Linked DNA regions of Callithrix jacchus. The protein of the gene in region 2 purifies or fractionates together with the protein of the main gene of each other region. This does not show direct contact. Links are inferred from orthologs where the notes say so. Each region holds a gene or a part of one and is shown on either strand. Other genes may lie near its edges.

Evidence for each region.
Region 1: the proteins of CCND1 (region 2) and CDK5 purify together in Homo sapiens (co-immunoprecipitation; 4 studies listed by BioGRID and IntAct, counting the BioPlex papers as one, with this or other methods). This does not show direct contact. The link is inferred for Callithrix jacchus from reciprocal best matches to the Homo sapiens genes CCND1 and CDK5.
Region 3: the proteins of CCND1 (region 2) and SKP2 purify together in Homo sapiens (affinity purification with western blotting; 3 studies listed by BioGRID, with this or other methods). This does not show direct contact. The link is inferred for Callithrix jacchus from reciprocal best matches to the Homo sapiens genes CCND1 and SKP2.

What each region holds. Positions count from the first base shown.
Region 1 is NC_133512.1:97,154,316-97,160,185, reverse strand, and holds the start of CDK5 (cyclin-dependent kinase 5), read right to left. Parts: upstream 3,795-5,870; 5' UTR 3,749-3,794; coding exon 3,712-3,748; intron 3,088-3,711; coding exon 2,999-3,087; intron 2,903-2,998; coding exon 2,835-2,902; intron 2,741-2,834; coding exon 2,680-2,740; intron 2,581-2,679; coding exon 2,524-2,580; intron 1,758-2,523; coding exon 1,662-1,757; intron 1,528-1,661; coding exon 1,453-1,527; intron 1,295-1,452; coding exon 1,198-1,294; intron 1,022-1,197; coding exon 952-1,021; exon of another isoform or gene 700-951; intron 405-699; exon of another isoform or gene 383-404; coding exon 322-382; intron 211-321; coding exon 130-210; intron 14-129; coding exon 1-13. UniProt on the Homo sapiens protein: Proline-directed serine/threonine-protein kinase essential for neuronal cell cycle arrest and differentiation and may be involved in apoptotic cell death in neuronal diseases by triggering abortive cell cycle re-entry. Interacts with D1 and D3-type G1 cyclins.
Region 2 is NC_133511.1:126,558,208-126,564,218, reverse strand, and holds the start of CCND1 (G1/S-specific cyclin-D1), read right to left. Parts: upstream 3,875-6,011; 5' UTR 3,792-3,874; coding exon 3,570-3,791; intron 2,878-3,569; coding exon 2,662-2,877; intron 2,172-2,661; coding exon 2,012-2,171; intron 1-2,011. UniProt on the Homo sapiens protein: Regulatory component of the cyclin D1-CDK4 (DC) complex that phosphorylates and inhibits members of the retinoblastoma (RB) protein family including RB1 and regulates the cell-cycle during G(1)/S transition.
Region 3 is NC_133503.1:169,455,168-169,461,266, forward strand, and holds the end of SKP2 (S-phase kinase-associated protein 2), read right to left. Parts: coding exon of another isoform or gene 5,976-6,099; exon of another isoform or gene 5,972-5,975; intron 2,982-5,971; coding exon 2,768-2,981; 3' UTR 1,113-2,767; downstream 1-1,112. UniProt on the Homo sapiens protein: Substrate recognition component of a SCF (SKP1-CUL1-F-box protein) E3 ubiquitin-protein ligase complex which mediates the ubiquitination and subsequent proteasomal degradation of target proteins involved in cell cycle progression, signal transduction and transcription.

The DNA.
Region 1 (5,870 bases), on a different chromosome or scaffold from region 2:
ACTTCAGAAGGTTCTGGAGATGGGAGAAAGGCAGTGGCAGGTTCAGGACAGGTCACTGCCCAGAGCCTTGCCTTCCTGTAGTCCCTCTGGACAAGTGTCCTGCCCCACCCTCTACCTCTGGTCACCTACCTGCAGCAGGTCCCTCCCTGTGGCATTGAGTTTGGGCACGACGTTCACCAGGGATGTTGTGGCCGGGTACATCGGGTAGGGCTGTGGAGAGGCAGGGAGGGGCAGACCAGGGGTAGGGGAGGGGTGGAGGCTGCCAGGAATGTGAAATAAGAGGGACCCTGATGAACCATGACCCCCTACTCCCCATCACACCTTGTAGTCTGGCAGCTTGGTCATGGAGGGCCACTGTTCCTCGGTGGGCGTCCCCAGCAGCGTGTCCACAGGGTCAAGGATCACTTGGGGAAAGGGTCACAGCTGCATCTTCAGGGACAGGTGAGGGCTTCTTCCCCTCCTGGGAGGGATTCCTCATACCCACCACCCTCTTCTCTCACCCTCCCTTTACCCTCCGGCTTGGGCTTGACAGAAGCAGCCCCAGCATGTCACTCACACATCCAGCCGGTTCCCATGACAATCGCTAACTAGTCTAACCCACATGCTGATGGCCTAGTCTTCATGAACCAGTCCTGCCCCACTCCCACAAAACGTGTCCCTGCTCCCTTGGGCTCCTTCACCCTGGCATCCGTCTCTCACCTGGAGGGACATCCTCTTGACTTCGTCCCCCAGGGCACACTGCCCATCCTATAAGTGGCACCTTCTCCAGTGTGCATATGCTCTGTGACCATCAGGGCGTCCAGCACGCCTGCTCTCTCCCCTTGCCCTCAGGAGAAGCCCTATGGACCCCACCATCCCACCCCATATCATCACTGCCCTTGCCCATTGCGCTAAAACTCCATGGGCTCTCCCCTCCCAGAGGGCTCGAGGCAGAGGAAAATGGAAGGATATCGGAAGATCCTCTTTAACTGGTCATCAACATCATTGCCGGGAAAGAGAGGCCGCCCAGCATTGGCCAGCTCTGGAGGAAAGAGAGGGGCTAAGATGTGACATGTGAAGGACCCCTCACTCTGAGGGACTCCTGACCTTCCAGCCCGTCCCAGGGCCTCCCTTCCTTTCCCCAGCAGAGACCCTCCAGATCCTATTTGTCAACCCAAATGGGAAAGAAGGTGCCTCTGCAGTGCCCAAGCACATCACCTGCAAAGATGCAGCCGGCTGACCACATGTCGATGGACGTGGAGTACAGCTTGGCCCCAAAGAGGACGTCCGGTGGGCGGTACCACAGTGTAACCACCTGGAGGAGACCCCCCCCGACAGGGACCTCCCACTTAGAGGGCTGGGGAGGAGGTTCAAGGAGGAAGCTCAGAGAGGAGAGGAAAATAATGCTTTGGGTCCTGGGGTAGGAGCTGAGGGGCTCCCTCCCTCAACACCACATCCCAGCTGCCAGCTCACCTCAGCTGAGTAACAGCGGACAGGGATCCCAAAGGCTCGAGCCAGGCCGAAATCAGCTAATTTCAACTCCCCATTCTGAGGGGAATGGAAAGGGAACATGGCGAAGGGCCTTTGAGCAGCCTTGGGGCAGCACAGGCTCCATCCTCCCAGTCCTGTTCCCCCAGGCCCTGGTCCTAGCCTCCCCTTCCCCACCTTCTTCCCAAAAGTACCCTGTTGATTAGCAGGTTCTGGGGCTTCAGGTCCCTGTGCAGCACATTGCGGCTATGACAGAATCCCAGGCCTTTTAGCAGCTGGAAGAGGAATGACTGGGGGAAGAGCAGGGAGCAGGGAGTCAGACACCCTGAACATAACTGTGGCCAGCAACTGGCCGGCTCCTCTCCTCACCCTGTGCTTCACTACACTCCACCCACCTTCCAGCACCTGGCTCAGAGTGACACCATTCATTTGCCATCCAGGACCTGCTTTGTACTGTGCTAGGCATTTGAGGGACAACAGTAAACAAGCTGGCCCTGGTCCCCACCTTCCTGAACCATACAGCCTAATGGGCCTTGCCCAGTGGGTCCTAGATCTTGCCTAGATCCCAGCCCATGATCTTCCCTTCCTGGATGCATCTGAGTATGCACACCATGACCATCCACATCAATATCATGGTGTAGTATCATTCAGGACTGGCTCTCCTGGAACCTGGACCAAGGCATTTGATCTTGGGCCCAGAAAAGCACCTGACACCCAGTGAAGCATTCAGTAAGTATGTGTTGAATGAATGAATGTATCTCCTTGAACCTCATTTTCTCATCTCTCGGGTGTAAATATCATTGATGTTACTGATGTCAACATCATATGATGTCCCTCTAATGTGGCCAGATTGGTGTCTGAGAGCCACTGTGCAGGTCAAAGACAACCACGTGAAAATGCTCTCTAGGAGGCCCCTGCGGGGCAGAAACAGGGTTTTCTCTTCCTCTGACACCCTAGAGCGTGCCTGTTCAGGGCCCAAACTTGGTGCCCAAGGAGTGCTTACACTGAAGGCAGACTTAGACCCCAGCCTGAGGGGTCCCCCAACACTCTCCTCACCTTTACAATCTCAGGATCGAGGTCACCATTGCAACTGTCAAAATACTTCTTCAGGTCCTAAAAAGGGATATGAGTGGAGGAATGGGACAGAGTTTAACCTCAGTCTGGGCCCCTATACCTTCCCAAGGCTACTGTCCCCCAAATCCCGCCTTTCACCTGGTCACAGAATTCAAAAACCAAAGTTAGCTTCTTGTCACTGTGCAGGACATCATGAAGCCTAGGGCAAAAGAAGGGCTCAGCCAGGCACGTCTTCCTGACAAATGTCCCAGGTCAGCCCCCACCTCCCCCAAGCAGCCACACCTCCCGCACACCTGACGATGTTCTTGTGCTTCAGCTCCTTGAGTAAGCAGATCTCCCGGAGGGCTGAACTCGGCACACCCTGCATGTGTGAGGGGGCCAGGTGGGCAACAGTCAGATCCCACCCAGCCCAGGCCTTCAACCCCCTCCCCAGCCTCTATCCCAGTCCGCAGCCTACCTCATCATCGTCATCCAACCTCACCCGTTTCAGAGCCACGATCTCATGCGTCTCCCGATTTTTGGCCTTGAACACTGTTCCGTAGGTGCCTAGGGGAAGGAGGTCAGGGGTCAGGGGAGAGGATGGCGCACTCTTCCCTAACCCAGGAAATGCCTCCCCCTGGGAGGTGAAGGCAGCGTCTGAGTGTGCAAGGGAAGGGATTCAGGGTGAAGGCAGGTGGGAGAGCTTTATGAGTGAGGATGTGGCAGGTGGGGAGGGAGAAGGTGCCTGCGGAGGCTCCAGGGGCTCGGCAGGACGACTGCGGCTGCCAGGCAAGGATGTCTATAATGAAGGCAGTGCTCACTATAATGAAGGGTCTGGAAATAGTGAGGAGGTGTCTGGGAGAGGACTGAGGGTCTGCAGCAAGAACCGAGGCTGGGGGTCGGGGTGAGGTTGTCCAAGTGGTGCTGAGGCTAGGGTGAGAAATTCAGGAAGTGTCGCGGTTGGGAGGTCGGGTCTACTGGGAACGCTAAGGTTGGAGTGGGAGCCTACGGGAAATGCTAACACGGGAAGATTGGTGTCTGGATGGAGTGCTGAGCTCGGGGGGCCAGGGCTGCAGCCGCTGTTGAGGTCGGAGCCTGTAGGTACTGCTGACGGTAAGAAAGCCAGGGCTGCAAGGAATGCCGAAGGGTATGCAGAGGAGCTCTTGCAGGAACATCTCGAGATTCCATTACCTTCTCCAATCTTTTCCAGTTTCTCGTATTTCTGCATCGCGGCGGCCGCGGGGACCCTGCGGGCCCTCGGTTTTTAAGACTCTGGCCCTGGCGTTGCAGAGGAGGCGGTACCCCAGCCTCCAGCCCCGCCCCGCCTGCCCGCGCACGGCCTTCTGGGGCTTGTAGTCCTAAGACGACAAGGTTTCCCTGCAGTTCCCGAGGCCGAGGACAAGAAAACTACAACCCCCAGCCGGCTGCGCTCAGGCTCTCTGCAGCACTTGACTCCCGGGCTCTGGTTCCAACGCGGAGGCAAACCCTGGACTTCAAGTCCCAGGGAGCCACGCGTGTCCGTTTTCCGGGCGCCCCGCCGCTGCGCTGCGGTTCCCAGTGTGCCCCGCTGTTGTTATTTCTTTTATGTGTTCCCAGACCTCTTGAAAAGGGCCGCTCCGGGACTACGCGTTCCAGAATGCAGCGGGGATGGGGGCGGAGCGCTGTCCCTTAGGGGTTTGGGGTTTGGCGTTTGGCGGCCTAGAGCCCGGGCCCTGGCGGCCCAACTCTGACCTTGTTGGTGGCCTTGAGTTCCCGACGGCCTCCTGACGACCTCAGCACAGGTTTCCACCTCTCCCCAAGCCACCTAGTGACCCCAAGATTGACTGGGGAGTGCCTTTGAGCGATGATGACCTCACAGGGAACAGCTGACGGCAGGGCTGGAAATATAACAGGTGTGCCTTTTTGAGGCTGGATTTTTAGTGAAGGGGTACACTCCAAAGACCCTTCTCTCCGCTGCACCCCGTTTGTTGTCTCAGCCTTCACTCGACTCCAGCCGCTGAACTCTGATATGCTGAGGCTAGCTGGGTGGAGCCCTGGGGGGGGGTCTCCCTAGACCCCAGTCTCCGGAGCAGGGCCCACTGGAGTCAGCCAGGGTGTGGCCGGCAGGTTGGTTAACCCCCTCCACAGACAAGACCACAGACAGGTGCTCAACTTGCACCAGCCTCTACCTCATCCCTTAAAGGAGTTGATTATAGATTCCGTTGCATTGCCTCTCTAATTGTCTCATGATTGCATTCTTGAGGGCTATGGACTGAGGGAAAAGGATCCCAAACAGCGCTCCTCAGCATCGGAATCAGAGTTGCTGCCAAACACGTATTAACTAACTCGTTTTTATCTGAACGCTTTTGCATACACAATGCTATGCTTCACGTGGCCGACTGGAGAAAAGAAGCGAAAAGTATATGCCTTATCTGGAAGACTTGGTGATTTCGTTGGGTAAACAAAAACTACACACAAAGGTCTTGAATGATAAATGATGGCTATGGCTAGGGTTGATTCAGTGTGAAGGTTCCATTCAAGAGTAAGGAGGCCACCACAGGGAATCTCTGTCCCTCTCAGGAAGTGGGGGGGGCGCCTAACAAGTTGCCCTCTCCCAGGTCAGCTCAGGTACTGAGCGGGTACTGGGCAGCCACCCTTCTCACCCGCTCGCCACCTGAGGCTTTCTTGGAGGCACTGGACTTTCTTGGACGTACGGGGGTTATTTGAGAGCGGGGGGCGGAAGAGAATCTCGACCCCGGTACGTTTCTATTTCGACTTCCTCCGCCCCGAATTTCCTGGCCATCCTTGTGCCTGCGTTTTCCTGCCTGGAATCCCCAGCGCGAGGCGGGATCTTTTCCACTCAGAGGTGCAGTAATTGAGCCAAGAGACGGAATCCCCCGGACGCCTGAGCCCCGAGTAGAGAATCTCAGGGCAGAGGGACGCGGGGGCGGTTCCTAGTGCCGGCCTGTGCCTGGAAGCGCGCCCCCGCCTCGGCCCCTGCTCTCGGCCCCCGCTCCCTCCTCCCCAGCAGCCGCGGCGGGGCCGCGCACGGTGCGCCGGGGGGCGCGCACGCAGGGGGCTGGCCTGCCCGAGGCGCGGGGGAAAGTTGAGTTGGGAGAAGTTGGGAGAGGCGGGGGCGCGCCCCGGGGTGGGCACGGGGCAGTCGTCGGGAGCGCGCGAGGGCGCCGGAGGACGGGGAGAGACCCCGAGACCCCCGGGGCACGAAGTCCAGAGCGAGCGGGTAAGCGGAGAGGTGGTGGGGGGGCCCGGGGCCGCGGAGGGAGGAAGGGAGGGGAAAGGAGAGGGGGGGAACTCGGGACTCGAGCGGGGAGGGAGTGGAAGTGGAGGAAAGGGCGGAGACTGGGGCGCGG
Region 2 (6,011 bases):
GCCCCATCTCATCCAGGGGCACATGCAGAGCGGAGTCACTCCCACATCGTTCCGGAAGATCCTGCCCCCACCCAAGTGTGTGGCAGTGTGCTTAGATTAGGAGCCACCCAGAATGAAACACCAAAGCTCCAGGATTGGACCCTATCCGCTGCCCAGTTGTTCAGAGAGGTGACAGCTGTCCTGGCAGCTCCGCAGCACTGGACGTTTCTCACCTGGCCCCCTGCAGCACCGAGGGCACGTGCCCTGAAACCCACTTATGTGAGTGTATGTGGCATGTGCACACCTGCTGGGGACCCGGGGCCAGGGATGCGTGGTGCAGGGAGAAGCCGCCCTGGCATCACCTTTAAATGTAACCCGTGCCACGTGGAGGGCAGAAACACCTTCCTAGACTCTCTCCCACGCCTCCGCCTCCTTCAACCCGTTTCTGACTTTAAGCAGCCCTGAGTCACTCTCGTCTCCACCGACGTCCAGCAGGACCCAGGCAGTTATGTCTGATGCTCAGTTATGTTCATTGGGCTGCGCACGGGTCAGGACCTGGAGCACTCTGCAGGGGTGGGTGCCCTGGCCTCCGGCCCCTCACTCGGGGCCCACCCTGGAGCAGACTGAGAGCAACTGGGTTCCCAAGTGTCCCTCTTCCTTTACCCACCGCCGGGGGCGCCTTCACAGACAAAGCGTGTGCAGTAGCGGGGAGGGCGAGACTGCACCTGCCCCCTGCCTCCCGCCAACACCCAGGGATCCTGGGAGGGGAGCTCAGCCGCTGGAGCCACCCTGCAGGGAAGCTGTGCAAGGACGGCACCCACCACGTCTCCAGAAAAGTGCATTTCTCTGAAGCCACTTACAGCTCCATAAAAGGCTGCGTGGAGTCTCTGGAGGCCTCTCTCCTCTGAGGAGCCCCAGCCAGAGAACGCCTCCCTGTCTGCTTCAGGACCACCCCCACCCCTCAGACCCATCCAGGCTGGACGGCATTCTTGGCATCTTCATCTGACCACTTTGGGGACTTGCTTGGAAACATGGGGGAGGGTTTCCTGCCCCAAGCAGGTGGAGGAGGTGGGGGAGCTCTCACGCCGAAACCAGAAACCATTCTGGAATAATACACTAACTGCTGGCTACCTGTGTCAGAGGGTGCGCTGAAATAGGTTTGGGGGGGCTCTGCCCTCAAGGGATTGGGGGAGAAGATGCTATTGTGTCTTTGATGTCCCGGACCTTGTGGCCTGTCACCCAGAGTGAGCCCACAAACAGATGTGACAACTGAGGCTTGACCAAAAGGGGGCAGGGCCCCCCCATCAGGGTAACCAGGGAAGGAGGCGCACAGGGGGGTCAGAGGCAGGGCTGGGGACAGCAGGAGGCAGCACCCTGTGTATGCATGTGTCTATCCCAGTTGGGTCCTGGGGCCAGGGCCATGCCAGCGGAGGTGAGGACTGGGTACTTCTGCTGCCCACGGTGGCGGCCTAAGCTGAGACTGCTCTGAAGTGCTCCCCAGGGCTCAGCTGAGCCCAGCAGACTGGCGGCACCCCTGGCAGGGCCTCAGGCAGCTGAGCTCCTCTGCTGGACACCCCTGCACTCAGCTGCCCAGAACACGTGGTGCAGGCGGGCCGACAGCTCTCCCCGCCCCCGGAGGCGCCTCTGGCAAGTCGCCCAGCCTGGGAGAGGCCAGGAGGGGGCCCCCGCAGCTCAGGCTCCTTAAGGACACAAGAAGGGCTGGAGGTCGGTGGGGAAAGGAGGCGGCCCTGCGGCCAAGGTAAACCCCTTTCGGCCTGGAGGATGAGGCCACAGCATCTAGACACAGGCAGGCTGGCTGCGTGGTGGCGCGGCCGTAAGGGCAAATCCCCTTCCATCCAGCGCAAACAAGCCAGCACCTCTGCTCACCAGAGCTGGAAGAACTCTTCCCAGCGCAGGCGGGGGCCTAGGGACGTCCTCCGGGACAGCACCCAGGTGCAGAGCAAGAAGCTGGCCAGGCCACCTAAGGTGCTGGCTTTCAAGGGGAGGCTGGGGGCGGCTGGGCCTGCCCTACCTGTAGCGCAGAGGGCAACGAAGGTCTGCGCGTGTTTGCGGATGATCTGTTTGTTCTCCTCCGCCTCTGGCATTTTGGAGAGGAAGTGTTCGATGAAATCGTGCGGGGTCATGGCGGCCAGGTTCCACTTGAGCTTGTTCACCAGGAGCAGCTCCATTTGCTGCGAACACAGGGTGAGCGGCTATCAGGGGAGGTGCGGGCCGGCCTGGGGACGCGGGGAAGCCGGCAGTATGGCCCTAGCCCCTGAGTCTCGTGTGGTCCTGGGGGTGCGGGAGCAGGACTGGCGAATGCTGGGGGGTCCAGGAAGCTGGGGCAACACACGATCCCAGATCAAAACAGAAAAGGCGCCCGCCGCGTGAAAAGATTCTGCAAGTGGAAACAAAAAGACTTCCCACCACCTGGAACGGAAGGCTCAGCGTGGAGCGCGGCGTTCCCGGTGCAGCCGCTGGAGGGCGCGCGCCGCCCATTTTTCGGCCACACCGCAGAGCGCTAACGAGGTGGGAGTCGCAGGCAAGCGCGCACGGGGCGGCTAGGATCCCACCCGCTCCCAGGACGAGGACACCCGGCAAAGGGGCCGCCTGCCGCCCCTGCACCTTCCCCGGCCCGGTGGTCCTGCGGCTCGCGGGGGGCGGCGGGGGTCCCGCGGTTACCAGCAGCTCCTCGGGCTGGATGGAGTTGTCGGTGTAGATGCACAGCTTCTCGGCCGTCAGGGGGATGGTCTCCTTCATCTTAGAGGCCACGAACATGCAGGTGGCCCCCAGCAGCTGCAGGCGGCTCTTTTTCACTGGCTCCAGCGACAGGAAGCGGTCCAGGTAGTTCATGGCCAGCGGGAAGACCTCCTCCTCGCACTTCTGCTCCTCGCAGACCTGCGGGGGCACGGGGCCCGTGACCGCCGCCGCCAGGTCGCGCCACCCCCACCCCACTCCCCCGCCCTCGCATGCCCATCGCGCTCGGCAGGACCACCAGTTCTGGAGGGCGCCGAGGGGTCGGGGCCGGGGGCGGCAGAAGCTTCCTGTGATGCGCCCCCTCTCGCGCGCGTCCCGAGTATCCACCCTCCCTGAAACTGAAAGGGAAAGTCCCCGCGAGGCTGGCATGGTGGGGGCGGGAGCGGGCACAGCTGGGCGGCGGCGCGGGCTGCAGGCCCCGGGGACCCCAGCCCGCCCTGGAGCTCCGTGGCCCCTCTGGCTGTGGGTCGACACCCACTGGGGTGCGGGGCCGCGCAAAAGGCCGCGGGGTTGGGCGCCGCGCCTGCGAGACACAAAGGTGGCGTCCCAGGCCGCCGCGCCGCATTTCCCCAGACGTCATCTTTTCAAAAAATATTTAAAAATATTTAAAAAATAACTAAGTGCGTAAAAATACCCTGAAAATGACCCTCGGACGGCCCTTTACCCAGGCCGGGGGTCGGGAGTTTGTTACAGGGTCCGGGGGAAGCCCCAGGAATTCAAACTCCGGGGACCCCCTTCCCCCTGGGCGCGGGCGGTGTTTCCCTCTCGCAAGGGCACCACGCCGCACTTTCAAAAATTATTTAAAAATACTTGCGGGCCCCTCAGGCGCCTACCGAAGGTGTGAAAATGTTCTCCCAGGCCCCCGGCTCGCTCGGAGAAGGTCCCCCAAGCCGAGATCCCTGCAGACGGGGATCCAGCCCTGGCGTCTTGGGGGCCACGCGACCTTGCAGCTCGGCGTGCTCTCCGGCCCAGGCTGCCCGTGCGGGGCGCTTTGGGACTCGCTGCTTGAACAAAGGCCCCCCTTTCCCCAGCGGGGTCCCCCCAAAACTACCCATGCTGCGTCCCCGCGCCCCTCCCGCGGGCTCCGGGCAGCCGCCGGGCCCCTAGTTGCGGCCCCAGCGCCCGGCGGCCGCTCCCCGCCCCCACCCTGCCCCCAATTATTAATAAACACTTTTGCTGTGCAATAAAAGAGCAAAGATGGCGCATAATACTGGCACGAGAAGCCCTTGCATACGTGTCCATGGATAGTAATTTAAAAATCAAATCTATGCCCCCTCCCCCCGGAGTTGGAGGCTCTCGGCCGCGGCGGCCGGGAGAGGAGCCGCAGCATGGCTGGGGCGCAGGCGGGGGGCACAAAGCGCACCTAACCTGCCAGCCCGCACCCTCGGGCCCATTGGGGTGCTCCTGGCACTGGCTTCTCCTGGAGGCACCCCTCCCCGACCCCCTCCTCCCGTCCCAGGAAACGCAACTCCTAGCACCCCCACCCCCACCCCTTCCTTCTTCAGAAAATACCCACAATTTTTATTTTGAAAATACCTAGCAACACCCCGGCAAACTTCAAAGGTCTAGCGGGAGAGAAGAGAGGGGAGTGAGAAGCAAAGAAACGTGGGTATGGGCAACAAGTTGCAGGGAGGTCTTAAGAGAGCCGCCCGAAGCCCCGCACCTCCAGCATCCAGGTGGCCACGATCTTCCGCATGGACGGCAGGACCTCCTTCTGCACACATTTGAAGTAGGACACGGAGGGTGCGCAGGTCTCCTCCGCCTTCAGCATGGCCCGCAGCACCCGGTCGTTGAGGAGGTTGGCATCGGGGTAGGCGCGGCGGATGGCCTCCACTTCGCAGCACAGGAGCTGGTGTTCCATGGCTGGGGCTCTGCCTGGGCAGCTGGGGAGGGCTGTGGGTTCCGGCTGCGTCCGCGCTCGGCTCTCGCTCCTGCTGCCCCGCGCTCCCTCGCGCTCTTCTGCCCCTCGCCGGAGCGCGCGGACTCTGCTGCTCGCGGCTACTGCGCCGACAGCCCTCTGGAGGCTCCAGGACTTTGCAACTTCAACAAAACTCCCCTGTAGTCCGTGTGACGTTACTGTTGTTAAGCAGAGATCAAAGCCGGGCAGAGAATGGGAGCGGGAGGGGGCGGGGGCGGGCGCAGGGGGAGGGGGCGCGGGCGCCAAACGCCGGGAGCAGCGAGGGGCAGAGCCCAAAAGCCATCCCCGAGGCGCCGCGCCTGCCCTGCGGCGGAGTTGCCCCCGTAGTCCGGTTTTCATAGAAATGCAAATCGCCCCGCTGCAGCCTTTCTCCCCGCCAGAAAAGAGGGGTACAGGGGGCCCGGTCCGACTCGAACGGGTCCCCCGGGATTTGGGGGTGGGGTGGAGGTGGCTCTGCAGTAGGGGACAACTGGGAAGCCCCACAGGCCACACGCAGCCTAGGGAGACCACGAGGAGGGGGGACTCCGGGGCGCGGCGACACCCCATATCCAAGCCGGCAGAATCGGCGCATTTCCAAGAACGCCACGAGGGCACCCACGAGCGGACAGACGGCCAAAGAATCTCAGTTTCTGCATCTCCTTTCATTTTCATTAACACGTGTAAATTTCAAGAACTATTTAGCATGCAGGGACGGAGGACAGGGCACACCACCCAGTGCACTTTTCATTTCGGCTCACATGGGGGTTGTTGTAAATGCCCAAGGGGGTAACCCTAAACATTTAAGGGATTTCAGCTTAGCACGCGTTCGCTCAAAAAATAAAATAAAATAAATGCCCGAAAATTCCAGCCGCAGCCCAAGATGGTGGCCAGCATTTCCTTCATCTTGTCCTTCTAGCCTGGAGACTCTTCGGGCTGTCTTCCTACCTTGACCAGTCCATCCTCGCGGGGGTCCCCAGATGCACCCCCTCCCTTCCGGTGCCGGCAATTTAACCGGGCCAAACACATCTCTGAAAGGACAGCCGAGGAACAGTGATCTCCGTCCTGACTCGTTTTTTAATTAAAAAAGGAATTAAATTGCTGGAAATATTAGTCGCCTCTGCCTGGGACAAGACCGCCGGAAGGTTCCTAATTGGTTTTGTTGGGGGTGTAGACGTCCTTTCACCTTTATAATTTGCCCCGGGTCTGCACTGGCGAGCGTGAGGGGGCTGGCAAGGGCGGGCAAAATAAAGGACACTTATCAATTAAACAAATGAGTGTACTGATCTGATTTTTAACAAAATCGATAGGCGTTCGTGGTTATATGAGAGGGTCCCCAATATTATCGCAAAGTTAAGCAAGTGTGAATTAAAATACATGG
Region 3 (6,099 bases), on a different chromosome or scaffold from region 2:
TTTTAGGAAGGTTAGCAACATCCTTAGCCTCTATTGCCTATATGCCAATAGCACTTCTCTTGTGATCACCAAAAATGTCTTCAGATGTTACCAAATATCTCCTGGGTCAGGGGAAGTCACCCCTGGTCTAGAGCTTTTGTTGCTAGATCTAACTATGAGTTTATGGAAATAGGGGACACCTTAACCTATCACTCCAGGGATAGATGCAAAATCCAGAATGTGGAACACAGAACAGATAACATTTTCTTTAATAAATTACAAGGAAGAAATCTTATGATTAAGATTTAGAGAATTTAAATCAAATGCAATGTGTACACCGTGTTTAGGTTTTGAGCAAAATAAACCCACTGAAGAATTGAGGATTTTTCAATATCATCTTGATATATAATGCTTCAGGATTCATGCAGGAGAATCCCTATCTTTTAGAGGTCTATACTGAAATAGGAAATTATGGGACTGGGTTTTGCTTCAAAATTACCTGTGTTGGAGGGGAATGGTTGAGATCATGGATAAAGAGAGATTGGCCAGGAGTCAATGATAGTTGAAATTGGATGATGGGGTTCATCATATTCTTTTTTTTTTTTTAAACATATTTGATGTTTTTCATCATTAAAAACAAGGCATAACGGTGATAATGTAAAAGGAATCACCATTCTACCATTCGAATGGAAAGGTTCAAAAGGAATGGAATTCTTGAAGGACCTCTGGGCACACAATGAACATTCAAATAGTTTCTGAATGACATTAAAACACATAGTATAGTCTGATCAAATATATTTAAAAACTGCTACTAGCTGACTTTTATTGATAGTACTTGAGTATCACCTTTGTCACTTGAATTCAAATGTTTTTGTAGATACATTACTACTGGATGCACTTTAAAGATAATGAGCCTGTATTAACCCCTTTTCAAAAAGCATTATAAACTATCATTTTTTTTTTTTATGTGACAAGCATATAAAGTAGATGGGTCGAAAAGGACCATCCCAGGGCTCTGTTTTGAAGGTTATTATTTAGAGGCCTCTATGGCATACCACACTAAATGCTTTCAAATTTTAATCACAGTACTTAAAATAAGAGAAAAAAGGAATACAACTTAGCTTAAGTACTCATTTTTATAAAAATGTGTTTTATTATTTTAAAACAAGTCTATAAAAGTAGAAATCACATACAAAAATACAGATTACTCTGACATGTTGGCAAAATAGCTTATGGCTGGACTTGAGTTTGGAAGTTCTGTATGTTTGAGGGCATCCGGATGTCAGAGTCCAACTGAATCCTAACCCCAGCTCTTGTCACTAATCTGTAAACAATAATTTCAAGTAGTATTTAGCACTGTTTACTAAGAAATTTAAGCATAATCATTTCCTGTGTAACCCAACTTTAAAATCTTCCTTAGGTCTAAGCAGATTAAAGCACTTCATACTATGTTTCTAACGTTAACAATTTTTGATTAAAAAAAAAGTTAATACAAATGATGGGTTTTGGCTTTTCTTGGCGTTACATTTTGAACCTAAGAAGAAGTCAATTTAAACTAGTTTTTTGTGATTTTTCAGAAGTAGAACTTAATCTTTTCACTTCTATGTACCAGTTTATAAAAAATATCACGGATGGTATCAAAAGGTCCCACATCTGGATTTTAACTCTTACATAGGTATAAGTAGTGCATACTACTGAAACTGCATGAAACATATACCTGCTTCTATTGTATATTTCTGATTGAAGGGAGTGCAGTTCCTCGGACTTTAGGTCCGATACCCTTATAAATAGATAGTTTCAAACAATTATTGGTGAGAGATCATTAAAAAAAAAAGAATTTAAAATACTTGATTTTAGAATACAAAAGTAACCTTAAGAACCTCAGCGCTAAAGGAAAACAGCAGGCAACTTCAGAATTCTTCCATCCAAATGTTCAAGAATAGAGACTAGATTAATAGCACCTTTCTAAAACAAAGCAAGTCATTTAAAAATCTTAAAGACCCATGTTCACATAATTTGATTATCAAGTTAGAAAACAATTATATTTCTCATCTAATTTAGAAGTCTGGAAACACAGTAACTTAATGAACATTATGAGATACTTCAAATTAACCTGTCGTAGAAAGCTGTCTCCTGGGCCTTCAAATCCTATACCAATTCTATACCTCTGGTTTTTGTAATGTTTGGTCTTTTGTAAGTTTTAAGGTGAATTAAGTGGCTACTAATTTCTATTAACATAATTTCAAATCTAAAGACAAAATTAAAACGCATTTTTCTCTTCCTCATTACCAGAAAAGATGGCCTCATATGCTACTATCCTATGATTCTCTTTTTGTTCATCTCATAATACAAATAGCTTATTGTTCTTCTAAGCTGTCTTATAAAGCAATACTATAAAATTAAATAGATAAAACTTATATAAGCTATGAAGATTGTTTGCTGGTGGTAATTTTTAAGCTTGATTCTTAATAGACTTAATAAGAAGGGTACTTGGAAAAGGTGGCTCAAATTTTGCTCTTTAAGGTATCTTGAAATTATAGGCTCACTCTCCCAAGATTTCAAAAGGCCTACAACTTTGGCTCTTAAGAGCAAAGCAGTGATAGAAGCTTTTAGAATCATTTCAAAAAGCAAGATTGCATAGTTTTCCCTCTCAAATGGTTCCCTAATATACTTGCAGAATGAAGGCAAAGGGAAAACCAAGAATAAAACTAGCTAAGTACTCCATCAATTGGGCTTCCTGCCTACTTTCCCTGTTCTAAAGAAGAGACACCATCCTGCAATAAATGCTTCAGAGACAACTGGGCTTTTGCAGGGTCAGTCGGCATTTGATGCCCCATATCTCCTGGTTCTTTTGGTTGTCAATAGTTGGCCTAGCAATGGTGGTGAAATGGGAGCAATTAATCTGTAGATGAGGAAGGGCTTCCTTTAACAGTTGAAGGGTACCATCTGGCACAATTCCAAAAACTTGTAGTGTTTTTAGTGTGGGAATTTCTCCAAGTTCACTGGAAAGGAAGAAAAGACTTTTAGAATAGCAGTATCTATGGAAGCTGTTTGACTAGAGTTATATGACCCAAATTTTACAATTTGTATCATCTACAAAATGCAGTCTGAAAATACAATTTATAATAAATGACTTGAGAAAATAGCAAATTAAACTGGAAAGCACAGACCATATAGCTTGAGCAACATGGTTTTAGGAAATGCACTGGTGCATTTTATTGAATGAGGCTCCTAATAACCTTAGAAACTCAGGTTTATTTAAAATCCAACCATATTTGCTTCCTTTCTCCAGCTGTCATTTATACAGTGATCTGAATGGGGTTACTGTGTTGTGAGAAGAAACTAGCAAGCTAGTGATGGTAAAAAGCAAATGTTTTACTGAGGTGCCAGTTGTAACCACCAAAGGTTACATGCAAATTAAGGATATAAACTTAACCTTTATGTGAACTAGGCTCACCTCTCAAAAGGAGATGTTATCAGGATTCATGAACTTCTTAATAATGGTTCATAGTCAACAAGTCCATTCTGTGTGATGAAAACTACCACTGACTTCCCTAAGATACTTTAGATAGGGTTAGGTAGTTGGGTACAGGTGGAAAACATGGGTGAAAAATCACATCCTTTAAGGAGGCAATAGCCATCTTACCTCTCTACGTATTATCATTTTTTTTCTGCATAGATAAGCCAGTCCCTTTAGGTATTTCACATGAGTTGAAATTCAACTCTGTTAACAGTGAAATTCTGTTTTACAAAAAAGGAAACCTATTTCTGCGAAGTAAACACTGTGTGGTGTTGGTAATGATGTTTTTCTTCTTAACTCAGATCTATGTGCCTAGAAATTCACCTCTCTGATCTGTATTTGCTGAAGGTTGGGACACACAGTACAAAGTCTTGGGAAAGGGAACATTTATTTTGGAATTTCAACAAAATCCTACCACAGATCAATGAGCACATCCATGACCTAGAGTCAGAAACATCCTTTGTATTTTCACATTGTCAATAATTACTTTTAAAAAAGCCCCAAACTTGCCTTACAATAACTGTCACCTGACCTTCAGTCTTTCTTCTTTCTAGCCTATTCTACATGCCAATTTCCAAGGCATCCTCCTAAAGCCTAGCTCAGATTAGTCATTCAACTGCTCCAAAACCTTGGATGCTTCCCTGTGTTTATAGAACCCAGGCTGTTCAGCTAGCCTGAAGACCTTCTGTGTTTAACCTGCTCTTCCAGTCTTCCCATGGCTCCCCTAAATGTATTTTACATTCCACAAGGTGTCTCAAACCCCACAAATGTTTATTATACGTTAGCTGAGTACAAGATGAAGGCTAATTTATAAAATAAAAGAACTCCAAATGAAATAAATATACTTGTTCACAAGGGGACAATAAGATCTAAAGGTACAACCAAAGAAAATCAGAAAGAACAAATTGTCATTCTTTAAGTAAACTGCTTTCTGGAATGTAGAAACGGTATCAAGGTAAGATCACAGTACACAGATGTTTATACTTATCACTTATAATGACAGCAATCCAGCTCCGACTTTGAATCCCTCATGTGAAATTTGAGAAATGTTATGAGAATTCTGGTTCTGGGATATCCAAATTAGCCAAATTGTGAGCCATTCTGCACTGGAGAATATTTAAAGGAAGAAACTGTAGGAGGAAGTAAGAAAAGGAGGAATGGCAGATGGCAGAGGAGGGAATGTTCTTGCAACAGCATTGGGAAAGAGATTTGGTGAGGAAAGAAATTAAGAGCAGACTCTGAGAACACACTCGAGTGTTATATATAAGAAGGGGCTTATATAAGATAAGACATAAGACGATGGATGAAGAACCAGTTCCCAAGTAAAAAATCCAGAAAGTCTCTAAAATTTTAAGGAGAAGACAAAAAATAAAAAATGCCTCCTGCTTTGTGCATTTCCTACAACCCAGAATAAAAACTTTGCAAGCATCTTTTAAAAACTACAGTGGAGAGACTGAAGAGCAAACTAAGGAATAGTAAATAGAAATAAGTAGCTCAAGAGCCATTATTTCTAATGTAAGAAGTATAAAATGACACCAATGTCTTCTGTTATCTTGAATTTTAGAAAATAAAAGATTTATGATCTCTTTCACGGGATTGTTCCTTACCTCATCTATATAATAATTTTGTTTTTCTTATAAAATCTTAAAGGCCTCAACTACAAATGCTCCTACCACAGAAGTTTTTTACTCTTCTGTAATCTCAGATTAGGTTTACTACCTCCAGCTTGGGTTTCTTACTTGAATGAGAAATAGGGAAGAATTAGGAGGAGTTTAGACACAGAGGAGAAGACCAATTAAGAAGGGAATAAATACAATGGGAAAGGTCCTGGGGAAGAAAAATTTACAGTTTCTCAAGTATTAAAACATTACTACAGAAGAAAGACATTCAAATTGTATTTTCCCACTTTCTGAGAAACAAATAGCCTTAAGTTCTTTAGCATAGATGGTTCTCTGGAAATTCTTACTGAAGCATCCTGGAATTTTTACTATAAACCTCAAATACATCAGCTGCCAAAATGATTGAAATTAGTCATTCTAATTCTCATTTTATCTTGAGAAACTTTTAAGTATCAACAAACTCATCTTAAGGATTCACAATGCAAATTAGTGTACAATTTACACAATGCCTAAAGAAATATACTCTTTAACCTTAAAGTTCAAGGACAGGATCTTTCTTCTTGTCTATTTAGTGGTCTGACTTGTAACTAAACTCCTAATGTCCCTGTTTCTCTTATTTCATAAGATTTGTACATAAAAGAAATAAGAATGCAGTGAAGGTTCACAGCTAGTTCTGTGACTTCAGGCCCATGTTTGTAACCATCAATTCACACTGCCTCCAGGTATTACCATGCGATTATTATGCAGGTATTACAATTACTGTTACTATTATCCCACTGGATAAAAATATTAAAATGAAGAGCTCACAGCCTTCCCCTTGGCTCTGCTTGAGAAAAAGCATTTGGGTAATTACCTGCTTAGCTTCTTTCTGCACAGGAACAAAAGCAAGACACATGGATAGATTCTCTTAAAAAAAGCAACCCAAAAAGAATTATCACCACACTCCCCAGGGGGCTGCACATGCAAAGAAGCAGGAGCCCA